Linked DNA regions of Neurospora crassa OR74A. The protein of the gene in region 3 purifies or fractionates together with the protein of the main gene of each other region. This does not show direct contact. Links are inferred from orthologs where the notes say so. Each region holds a gene or a part of one and is shown on either strand. Other genes may lie near its edges.

What was found.
Region 1: the proteins of NCU16016 (region 3) and NCU00395 purify together in Saccharomyces cerevisiae (affinity purification with western blotting; 10 studies listed by BioGRID, with this or other methods). This does not show direct contact. The link is inferred for Neurospora crassa OR74A from reciprocal best matches to the Saccharomyces cerevisiae genes COX1 and MSS51.
Region 2: the proteins of NCU16016 (region 3) and eat-5 purify together in Saccharomyces cerevisiae (affinity purification with mass spectrometry; 3 studies listed by BioGRID, with this or other methods). This does not show direct contact. The link is inferred for Neurospora crassa OR74A from reciprocal best matches to the Saccharomyces cerevisiae genes COX1 and COX13.

The regions. Positions count from the first base shown.
Region 1 is NC_026503.1:3,705,782-3,709,863, forward strand, and holds NCU00395 (mRNA processing protein), read right to left. Parts: upstream 2,495-4,082; 5' UTR 2,362-2,494; coding exon 818-2,361; intron 747-817; coding exon 707-746; 3' UTR 507-706; downstream 1-506. Other genes in the region: NCU00396 (pre-mRNA-splicing factor rse-1), read left to right, coding at 2,999-3,242, 3,433-4,082. UniProt on the Saccharomyces cerevisiae protein: Has a dual role in the assembly of cytochrome oxidase subunit 1 (COX1). It has a regulative function on COX1 synthesis, acting as a translational activator specific for the COX1 mRNA, and it also binds to newly synthesized COX1 protein.
Region 2 is NC_026501.1:1,850,430-1,854,248, reverse strand, and holds eat-5 (encodes anonymous transcript-5 protein), read left to right. Parts: upstream 1-1,476; 5' UTR 1,477-1,672; coding exon 1,673-1,844; exon of another isoform or gene 1,845-1,906; coding exon of another isoform or gene 1,907-1,931; coding exon 1,932-1,956; intron 1,957-2,246; coding exon 2,247-2,414; intron 2,415-2,563; coding exon 2,564-2,609; 3' UTR 2,610-3,164; downstream 3,165-3,819. Other genes in the region: NCU01961 (DNA lyase Apn2), read right to left, coding at 1-688, 748-793, 849-861, 923-950; eat-6 (anaphase-promoting complex subunit Apc5), read right to left, coding at 3,165-3,819. UniProt on the Saccharomyces cerevisiae protein: Component of the cytochrome c oxidase, the last enzyme in the mitochondrial electron transport chain which drives oxidative phosphorylation.
Region 3 is NC_026614.1:37,770-41,572, reverse strand, and holds NCU16016 (cytochrome c oxidase subunit 1), read right to left. Parts: upstream 2,306-3,803; coding exon 632-2,305; downstream 1-631. Other genes in the region: NCU16017 (hypothetical protein), read right to left, coding at 1-669. UniProt on the Saccharomyces cerevisiae protein: Component of the cytochrome c oxidase, the last enzyme in the mitochondrial electron transport chain which drives oxidative phosphorylation.

The DNA.
Region 1 (4,082 bases), on a different chromosome or scaffold from region 3:
AGCATGGAACCGATCACCCCTTGAAGTCGTCGAGCTTCCCCTGAATGAATGTCAACAAAGCACACACCTTTGACTTACGCAGCTAAGGCGGCACCGCATCCTCGACCGCTTTTAAATTCCTTTAACTCTAGTCAAGTCGGTGCGAGTCATCTTCCAGCATGTGGGTAGTTTTCGTTTCTTACCAAGGATACACACTGCTGCTGGCAGGTTAGGAATCTCCACGCCTGAAGTTTGTTATCGTTGCACTTCGCTTGACAAACGTTGACCGAAATTTACTGCGCGGTGCAAGGTGTTGCGTGAGACGGACAAAAAGTGCTTGAAAAAAAAAAACCGTCTGTCGTCGATGAGGCTCAAGCTGTCATCACCCTTGCCACAGCAGACTGCCGTGACACAAGGCACTTGCTGCATGCGGCCCGAGCCTGACCGTTGCAGATCAGTGCCTCCCTAGGCCCACAACTACGAGATTATCAGACTGTGCAGTCCAAAAGATTTTGAACACACACCTTGGATCCGACATCCGTAACATCCAGCCCGTACCGTTAGAAACGGAAAAGATACCACAAAGTCTTGAAGTGTAAAAAGCCGATATGGTCGTGACAATGCGTTTGTTCGATATTCCTATTATACAGTCTGGGCTCCTAACAGCCCGGTTGCCAACACCTACTACATCTTACAGGATGCAACGACCAGCATACGCATGGCTCATCTATACAGCAATGACGTTGTCTTTGACGGTAGCCTCGTACCTAAAACAAACTCTGTTAGCTCTCGAACCGTATCTAGTTGTGCGGGGGAAAAAAATCAAGAGAGCACCAACCTCTTTCCGCGGAAGGCCCACACACCCCAGTTACCGGCACTGACGTCCTGAGGGTCAAGATCATTCAGATCCCACCGGAGACTGCGGAAGATGTTCTCGCCAGGCTCCATGAGAATGTCGAATTCACCCTTGGCCTTCTTGTTGACCCACTCGACATCACGCTCCATGTCAGCCTGCGTGTAGCCCGTAGCAATGATAGGAGCTTTGGTCTCGAGAAGCATAGGCAGCGTTTCCTCCCATTCGTGGGAGCTTGCCGGGTGGCCCAAACCAGGGTGGAAGAGGACGAAGCAGTCGAAGTAAGGATCGTGAGGAGCGAAATAACCCGTCTTGTGGATAGTATGGTAATAATCCACAATGGTGCTGATCTTCATGGTAGGCCATACGCGATCCTCCACAACCGCACCGTAAGGATTCTCGGGAGTACGAGGCGGGAGGGGAAATTCGTCATCGCGGTTCATCATGCTCTCGGGTCCGATGAAAATCAGATGGAGTCTCGACAGGGGGAAGAGATGGGCCAACTGCACCCAAGCATCTCTAGGCAGCGACGACTCAGCGCGAGCACCGAGAATAAAGACACGCACGGGGGGCGCCTCAGGCCGAAGACCCTTGATAGACTCGTTGCCTCCAGTTTTGGGAGGATGCAGGGTATAGCGAAGTGCCGTCAAACTCTTTAAGCCCTCGACCGTGAGGCGATTCCGGATGTGGTACGGGCTCAACTCGTGAAGAACGCTGCCGATCGTGAGAGGATAGGTCAACAACCTAGTCGCCTGTCTCATGCACCGGTCATCGTTGACAGCTTCGAACTGACGGGTATACATGAACGTGTCCCAGTTGGTCATGTTGACCATGGCATCATCCATTTGCGGACCGGCGTAGTTGAACTCGTAGAAGTGGCGGCCTGAATGGAGGTCATGGTCATCTTCATTGATCTGCCGCAGAGTGTCGCATATCTCGAGATGTTTCTCATAGTCGTCCATCCAATGCTGCTCGCTGCAATATACCGGGATGCCACAGTCAGGGCACTCGAAATCGACGTGCTTCGGCGGCTGGGAGCCAGACTCGGTATCGACTTGGCGGTTGGTCTCGGAGAACTGCCCTGGGCGGTGGCTATGGTGGGGGCAGCTGGCGTGCTGTCTTATGAAGGCCGCGCGCTGGCGGATCTTGGGGATGGGCGAGTTGGTGAAGGAGTGGAAGAGGTTGTCCTGCTCGAGAATCGGCTTCGAGGGGATACCACTACCGGCCAGATCCTCGTTGGTGGCAAACGATGTCGAGCTGCTGGCCTTGGTTCTGGACTGGGCAGCAACGGAAGGAAGCTTGCTTGTGATCGAAGCCTGGATCGGACGCGAAATGGTTCTGGTGATGCCGCCGACTTGCGTCGAAGACGAGGAAGAGCTCTGTGCCCCTCGGATGGAGCTGACGGAGCGTTGCTGGGCTGACTGCAAAAACGCAGCACTTTGCCTGCTCTGTCTAGCTGTGAAAGTCGAGCATTGCGAGCAAAGCTTGGACAAGGCCGGACGCACGGCGCGGTCTGCTGGGAGGGCCATTGGGAGTTCAAGAGGTCGGATGATGTTCGATCGGGAATCTGGATCGCCGGGACTCGATGCGACTTTCCAATTGACTTTTTGGCAGCAGCTCCCAGCAATCCGGGGTCCTCTCCCACCGACCCGACTCGCTACCTACCTCTACTGTGCCTAAGTGCCTAGGCGGGTCCCGTCCATCGAATGACCCACTTTGTTCTTGCTTCACCAGCCACAATTGTGCCTAGGTAAGCTCCGTCTGACGTTACGTATGCGGGTCAGAGAGCTACGAGCAAGCCACAGTCGCGAGGCGGGAAGATGAGTGGGCGGCGTCTACGACCTACCGTGGACCGAGTCCGACGTACCGCTGCAACCTGAGTGACTGGACTGCACCAATTGGCCAGAAATACCATCGACGGCAACCGACTCCATCTACCTCGCCAGAGTGCCAGAACACTGGACCGTGTTTCATTTTTTTTTGCCGTGTTACAATCATCTACTCGATATTCAACTCTAGATTTTCGACAATCTGGCTGACTTTCGCGCATTGGTCTTCTCAACATAACGACGGCAGCATTGACAGAGCACAACCGAGTCCTACCCACTTGCAAAAACAACCTCGAGAAAGCAGAGCCGCGCCGGCTGTCTGCGCCCAGTTGCAGCCATGGCGACTACGTCGAACATGTTCCTGTATTCCTTGACCATCCAGCCACCCACCGCTGTCACGCAGGCTCTGCTTGGTCAGTTCTCGGGAACCAAGGAACAGCAGATTCTTACGGCGTCTGGATCGCGTCTAACCCTCCTTCAGCCTGATCCCCGTCAGGGCAAGGTCAACACCCTGTTGTCTCATGACATCTTCGGCATCGTACGCGCCATCGCGTCGTTCCGTCTGGCCGGCAGCCACAAGGGTGAGTAACCTCCCCGCCACCTCCTGTGTTGGGCAATATAGTGATTCTGGATCCGTTCCCCAGGTGCTTCTGGGTAGAGGGGCCACACGTATGGTCACGCACCATGCACCCAGGCCTACGAGTCTTCTGGGGACTTGAGAGACTCATTCAAATCGGTAGCGGGATTGTGCTAAAACCCTGTGCCACCCAGACTACATTATCCTCGCCACTGATTCGGGCCGCATTACGATTATCGAGTATCTCCCCAAGACGAACAAGTTTCAGCGCATCCACCTCGAGACTTTCGGCAAATCGGGCGTCCGCCGAGTCATCCCCGGCCAGTACTTAGCCGCAGATCCAAAGGGAAGAGCATGCCTCATTTCGGCACTCGAAAAGAACAAGCTGGTCTATGTTCTCAACCGAAACTCACAGGCCGAGCTTACCATCTCGTCACCACTGGAAGCCCACAAGCCAGGCGTGTTGGTGCTGTCTCTTGTTGCCCTTGACGTTGGTTACGCAAACCCCGTTTTCGCTGCGTTGGAACTGGACTACACGGACGCGGACCAAGATCCTACGGGCCAAGCACGAGAAGAAGTCGAGACACAGCTGGTATATTACGAGCTTGATCTGGGCCTGAACCACGTTGTACGCAAGTGGTCAGATACTGTCGATCGCACTTCTTCACTTCTCTTCCAAGTACCCGGCGGCAATGACGGTCCCAGCGGTGTCTTGGTGTGCGGCGAGGAAAATGTCACCTATCGGCACTCGAATCAAGAGGCTTTCCGCGTCCCCATCCCTAGACGCAGCGGTGCCACCGAAGATCCTCAGAGGAAGCGGGTTATCGTCTCTGGCGTTATGCAC
Region 2 (3,819 bases), on a different chromosome or scaffold from region 3:
CTCTGCAGAGATCCCACAGCACAGGCTTCTCTCGCCCTTCGTCTGGCTCACCAATCACTCGGCCACCGAAAACAATTTGGTTCAAGAACCGGCGCGAAGGGGTCGAGATGAACTGGTCGAGTGTCATGGCCTCCTTTTTCAATTGTTCTGGTAGACCAGCGGTATCCATCTCGTTTCGGATGATGTTGAGGTCGCCGCAGAGAAACACCTCTTTCCCCAAGGAGACAAGGTTACGAACTCTGGCATCCATGGCGTCGATGAAGGCCTGACGGAACTCGATCCTGGTCTCGTCTCGCGTGGCCGGGCTGTATACACCGATAAGAACAAAGGCAGGGAACTCCAAGATGACACACCTTCCTTCGGAGTCAAGTTGAGCTTCGTCTATGTCGCTGGAGAGTTGGCCGGGAGTGGGATAGCCACCAATCTGCTGATCAGCAGGCAAGTCGCGAAACTTTGTGGACGAGTTCGGCGGACACAGAACGCCAGTAATGCCTTCTTCGGCGCGTATCGGGCAACATTTCGAGGAACGAGTGTAGATTGCAACTCCCGAGTAGCCCTTCTTGTACGTGGGTAAGTTGAAGTACACATCCCAGCCAGGGACGAGGACCATGTCGTCTCTCAAATCCTTCCGCTGAATCTTGGTTTCCTGTATGACCACAATGTCGGCGTCCAAGGTGTCGAACATGGCCTTCACTGTGTTAGAGCATCCGGCCAGATAGGGCTTTTGAATAGGGAACTTGATCCCACCTGAAACGTGCGGTTCTCCCGCCATGGCTGGTAACTGAATGGGTTTCTTGAAGCAGGGTCAGAGCTGGTTCATAGGGACGGCTTGTCGTGTTAGGACCGACCTGATACCATTGACTACACATTGGTTTGAGTTAGACCAGGCAAAACGCAGCAAAAACGCGCAAGAGGATCTCACCATTCCACGTCGTGATCCGTAACCCCATTTTCAGATATTCCTTTACTGATGCTAAGGTAGCTCTCTAGATCTACCAGGTTTATAGCACAACAAAGTCACTTCGGTCGCCGGATGCGGCGCTTGTAATTGCAATGGCCACACGAGAAGCAGAGGGACATGGGCTGACGTCTTCGATGTTCGGCTTCGCATGAGCAAGAGCTTCAGGTCTCGGGAACAATTGATCTTTCCCTCACGTCGCTACATCGATCGATATTCCCAGTCTCTTGGAGTTTGCCACACCTTGCGGCAAACGACCAACGATGTCACTAGCTGCCAAGCCATCGCCAAGTAGTTCGCGGCGTCCACAAACGAACGATTGGCTCGTGCGGTTGAATTACGCAGGTGAATTGGGCGGTCCACACACGAAGTCACCTGACAGGCAGCTGCTTTCGTCATTCCGACTGCTCGCGCAACTCAAGCTTTCAACGGGAACGTGCACTTGGCACTGTGGCTTGATTTCGACTGTCTGTGCACTCCAGCCACACCCCATGAGCAGCCGCAACCCACGCACGCACCCGAGGTCGAACTGAGCAATGAGCTGATCGGTCTCTGACCTCACTCAGTTCGCACCCGGAGTCACGAGAAGCCGCCAAGCGCAGGAGGAAAAGAGTGGGGCCAGCTTGCTACAACCTTTGCTGCTGATTCCGCATCCACCTCGTTACCAGTCCTCCTCCGAACCACCTGTAGTCGACCACAACGAATACGGAAACCATGTTCGCCCAACGCCAGATGTTCTTCGCGCGCCTCGCCGCCAACCTTCGCGCCCCCGCGGTCCGCCAGACCGTCCAGCGCCGCTTCGCCAGCACCCCTGCCAACGAGTCCGGCAAGAACGCCTTCGTCCGCGAGCGTGAGGCCGTCAAGCAGCACGCCGCTGAGACCACCGGTGCGCACTAATCCACCACCCGCCCTTGTCAATTGCCGACCCCGATTATCGATGGACGGGAAATGCTAACCGGGAGTCGCCATATAGAGCTCTGGCGCAAGATCTCTCTCTAGTATGCGCATTTCCTCCCACCCCCCAAATCCCCGCTGCGTGGTTTTTCCCGGATGGACCCCTCGGACTCTGAAGGAATTGGAACTTCAGCTAGCTCAAATGAAGCTCCATCGAGCTCCGATCGGAGCCCGCCTTCAACGACGAGCGCATGACACCAACGTCATAGCCGACGTGCACCGCCGAGAAGACGAAGGGGATCAACAGTCAACATCTACGGAATGCTTGATTGAGTGGGGGACAGAAAAGGGGAATGGAACACAATAAGCTAACGAAACTCACCCTTTCTCCCAGCGGCATTCCCCCTGCCCTCGCCCTCGCCGGATACAACGCCTACACCCTCTACAACGAGCACTGGGAGCACTGGTCCCACCTCCCTCCCCTTGAGGAGCGCACCGAGTACCCCTACCAGAACATCCGCACCCGCAACTACCCCTGGGGCGATGGTGACAAGACTCTCTTGTACGTTTAACCCATCCGAAGCTCGCACAACCGGCGGGCATCTCTGCATGGCCTTTCTGAACGAAGGAGCTTTGAGCGTGTCGAGCCCGCCCCATCGAAGGAGCCTCATTCTATGGCAACAACTACTGACCGATACCAACTCTGTTTAGCTGGAACGAGTCTGTCAACTACCACAACCGCGACAAGGTCACGTAAGTGGCTTGTTGATGCGAGCTTCACAAGCACCATCTGTGCTCTTGCTTGCTAGACTGGCATCATCCCTGGATCATTGGAAAGCAAAGAGAATTGGGACAGCTAGCGTGTAGTGAGAGCAGGTGGCATGGGACTGTGAATGAAGTGTGGAAAAGAAAGAACAGGACGAGTGCTAGAGGCACCACCACGTCTACTGATCCGCAATCATCATATCAATTTATTTGTATTCTGATATCAGCCTTTGTAAAGGCTCGCATTGACATCCATATGATCTTATTCTTGATGGAAGCCCATGTGCAGGACGAAAACAGTGTTCTACTGCTATTGCTGGGGATCTCCATGAGACAAAGTGCAGTGAGCCTTCATAGCTTCCTTCCATTTCTACCAGGGGTATAAAGACACAAAACAAGGGGCACACATCCGCGCCATGTTCGATGAAATCAAACATCAACCTCTATGGCCAGCGACAATATTCTCCATTCCTCATCAAGTCATTACAACCGAACTGCTCCATAAAAACGTCCGACCGGAGCTTTACTGAGCCCCACCCAAACCATATTATGGCGTACCTGTATCTGTCGACCATACACTAGAATGCTCGCCCGACGAGCTCTGCCTCTTCAATGCCATATACCGCGCCGCATACTCCTCCGCTCGAGCATGATCCCCCAGCACTTTCATTAGCGTCGCCCTCTTCGCCAACGTCTCGCACTGCTTCTCCAGATCTTCCGCCGCAGAGAAGTGGTTGAACGCACACTCCAGCGCCTCGTGTGCCTTCGTAAAGAGGTCGATTTTTTTGTTGCTCATCAAGCTCGCCGCCGCTCCTGTTGTTTCTCCCGTCGTCGTCATCGCCTGCCTGGCCTTTGCAGCTTTTCCAGCCTGTCCCATCCTGGCATCCGCCAGGATACTATACAGTATGCCTGTGTTGAAAGCATTCTCCGACTCCATCGAGCGCGGCAGCACTGCTTCTACTAGCTGCACAGCGGCAGTGAACTCGCCCATCGCATTCAGTATGTTGGCCAGAGCGCCAACCGCCTGCCAGAGAAGGGTGAGCAGCCGCGCACGCCACGCAAGGCTCGCCGCGCGCATGGTGATTGAGAACCCCCTTTCCGGTCTGCCCATGCAGTCAAAGAGGTGCGCCTTAGCCAGCAGTAGCCGAATACGCAGAGACAAGTCCCGGTGGTCATCACGAAACTTGGCGATCAGCCGCTCG
Region 3 (3,803 bases):
TGAGCTTGCACCTGAATTTCCTTTTGCAGATGGAGGTGAATCTGAACCTCCTGATGCACCTGAGTCTGAACCTTTTTTATATAAAGTTAAAGGTCCACGTGGAGATGGTGTTTTTTTTTCACAAGACTCACCACCTACACCCGCAGGTAATTCAAAATCACTATAATATAGTTCTCCAAAAATTCTAGCTAAACTACCAAATAGGTACATCAAGGTTCAAAGATGAAGATCTAAAAATATTGAAGAAGCTTTAGGAGCTTCTACTCCTAAATTGGACGCTTCTACTCCTAAATTGGACTCTACTCAAATCATATTAAATAATCTTAAGCCAAAAAAAGGGAAATTTTTTACCAAATTTTGAGTAAAAAATACCAGAGTTCATATCTCCTGATCATAACAAATATATATACCTTTAACTATTAACATAGTAGGTAGAGCAAAAAAAATAAATATTTTAAACTTCTTAATCATATTCATTCAGATGGCTTTAGATATTTCAGTAATACGAGATTTAGAAGGTCAGTTCCAAATAGATGCTTGTAAATTTGAGGTCACAAAAAGGTGAGGTTTTGGTGGTGTTAAAGTTAGTTTATGAGTTAAAAATTGGATGAAAGTTAAAAGTTCAAGAAAATTAATTTTGCCTCCCACTGATTTCTTTTTGTTCCCCATATGATGATAATCTAAAAAATGATAAAAAAAATGATGAAGATTGTAATGGAAGACTCACGAATGAATGAGGTTTAGGTGGGCTACTTATAGATCATTCTAAACTAGGATAACTTCTATTTAAAAGAGCACGTAAACTATCAGTATAGAATTGTGGGATTGATCATGGATATCTACCTGCGTATTCTCCTTGAACTAGTTGTATATACACAATATATAAGAATAATCAAGAAGCTACTACACTTACGATTGACCCAAAACTACTTATTAAATTTCAACCTGAAAATGCGTCAGGGTAATCACTTATTCTTCTTGGCATACCTTGTAAACCTAAGAAATGTTGAGGGAAGAATGTTAAATTAACCCCTATGAATAAAAGTCAGAATTGAGCTTTAGATAACACCATATTATAATTTAAACCTAATATTTTAGGTACTCAGTGATATCATCCGCTAAACATTGCAAATACAGCACCCATACTTAATACATAGTGAAAATGAGCAACTACGTAATAAGTATCGTGGAATGCTATATCTAAAGATGCATTCGCTAAAACAACTCCACTTAATCCCCCAATTGTGAACATAAATACAAAACCTAAAGCAAATAACATAGAAGGAGTTAATCTAATAGAACCTCCATAACATGTAGCTAATCATGAGAATATTTTAATTCCTGTAGGAACTGCAATAATTAATGTAGCTGCTGTGAAATACGCTCTTGTATCCACGTCTAAACCAACTGTATACATATGATGACTTCAAACAATAAATCCTAATATTCCAATAGACATCATGGCGTAGACCATACCAATATAACCGAATACTGATTTATTAGAATAAGCTGATATTGTTGTACTTATTATACCAAAACCAGGTATAATTAAAATGTAAACCTCAGGATGCCCGAAGAATCAGAAAAGATGTTGGAATAAAATAGGATCACCACCACCAGCTGTTTCAAAGAATGATGTATTAAAATTTCTATCTGTTAATAGCATAGTAATTGCACCGGCCAACACGGGGAGAGATAGTAATAATAATACAGCTGTAATAACTACAGCTCATCCAAATAAAGCTAATTTGTGCAATCTAATTCCTGGTGTTCTCATATTTACTATTGTAGTTATGAAATTAATAGACCCTAATAAGGAACTAACTCCTGATAAATGTAGGGCAAAGATAGCCAAATCTACACTAGGTCCACTATGACTTTGTACACCTGATAAAGGAGGATAAATTGTTCATCCTGTACCTGCTCCACCTTCTATACATGCAGAGAATACTAATAATAGTAAACTTGGTGGTAACAGTCAGAAACTAATATTATTAAGTCTTGGGAATGCCATGTCAGGACCCCCTACTAATAATGGTAACAAGAAATTACCAAATCCACCTATTAATGCTGGCATAACCATAAAGAAAATCATTAAGATCGCATGTGCAGTTATTATAGCATTGTATAATTGATTATCTGCAATGTACTGCACCCCAGGTCCGCTTAACTCCATTCTTATTAAAACAGAAAATGCTGTTCCAAGTAACCCAGAAAATAGCGCAAAGATTAGATAAAGAACTCCTATATCTTTAGCATTCGTTGATAAAAATCATCTTTCAGTTCAAATCGAAATTGACGACATTAACCCGACACTTCTTTTACTTGAATTTAAAGAGAGCCCAAACTCCTCACTATTTAATTGATTAAATAATATAATGGTTTTTATTATAATGGTTACGTATCTTATAAATAAAAATAAAATAAGATTACAACATCTTATTGATTATACAATCAATGCTAACCAGGATATTCTGTAAACCGACCAACAGAATATCCCCGGTAACGTAATTCTGGATCACCTACGTAGGTGATTGACTGACTTACTAAAAAACACACTAGCCTTTCAATGTTTTGTGGACTTTCTTTTTTTTTTTTTTTTTAAAAAAAAAAAAAAAAAAAAAAAAGGCGGAATCACGGCTAAATCAGTATTAGAACCAACGAAGTGCCTTGCTATATTAAGTCAGCTATCCAATATTCCATTAGCCTCATGTAGTAAATTAACTTTTCTCGCTACCCTTATCCACATATCCCCCCGTCCCCCCGCCCTGCAGTACTGCAGGGGGGGGAAGGGGGATTGTGAAGAGTGGATGAGCGCCTTTGGAGGAGCGCACAAGTTATTATTATAATTCATTTTGCTCCCACTTCTAAACCCCCGCAAGCTTGCGGGGGGTTTGTTAGGAGAGCCTCCGCTACGCGAGAAAATGAAGACTTATCTTATTATTTAACCAAAATATTAAAAATATTTTGGGAGGCAATTATTTTTTAGCTTCCCCCCCTGCAGTACTGCAGGGCGGGGGGACGGCTAAAAAAATTAAGCGAAGCTCGCCTCCAAAATATGTAGGTAGTGTATATAAAAAAAAAAAGAAATATTTCTTTACCGGTTTATTTCTTCATAATACATATTTTGTTAAGGCGGGCGAAGCTTGCCTCAGAATCACTCCGCCTTTTCTACAACATCAGTTAAGATACTACTTAGTATCTTATATTCCTTTGTAGCCTACAAGAGAAGATTTAGTTTGTATATTTTAGGGGCTAGCGAAGCTCGCCTCCAAACTAAACTAAACCTAAATTTATTTTACATACAAATAATAAATCGAGCCGCGAGGCGTCTTTTTATCATATATTTTTAAAAACAAAAACAAATATATGTTTTAGTGCTTAAATATTATTATTATGTACTACCCCCATATTATTTAAGCCCTAAATACAGATAATTACTCCCCTTATAGAATTATTTTTTTTTTTTCATTAAGATAGTTAGTAAATTTATTAAATTTGCGGGCAGCTTGCTTCATTTTTTTTTGGGCTGGCGCTTATTTTTTTTAGCTTCCCCCCCCTGCAGTACTGCAGGGCGGGGGGACGGCTAAAAAAAATTAAGCTAGCCTCAAAAAAATTGGCTATAGGCTAACCCTAAAGGATTACGTAGGAATCGAACCTAATCCTTAAGATTTGCAGTCAAAGGGTAAACCATTTACATCGTAATCCTGATCCCTTGCTAAGATCAAATAATTATTTACGGCCTCCTCCGTTTCCCTCCACCCCCCCCCTGCAGTACTGCAGGGCGGGGGGACGGCTAAAAA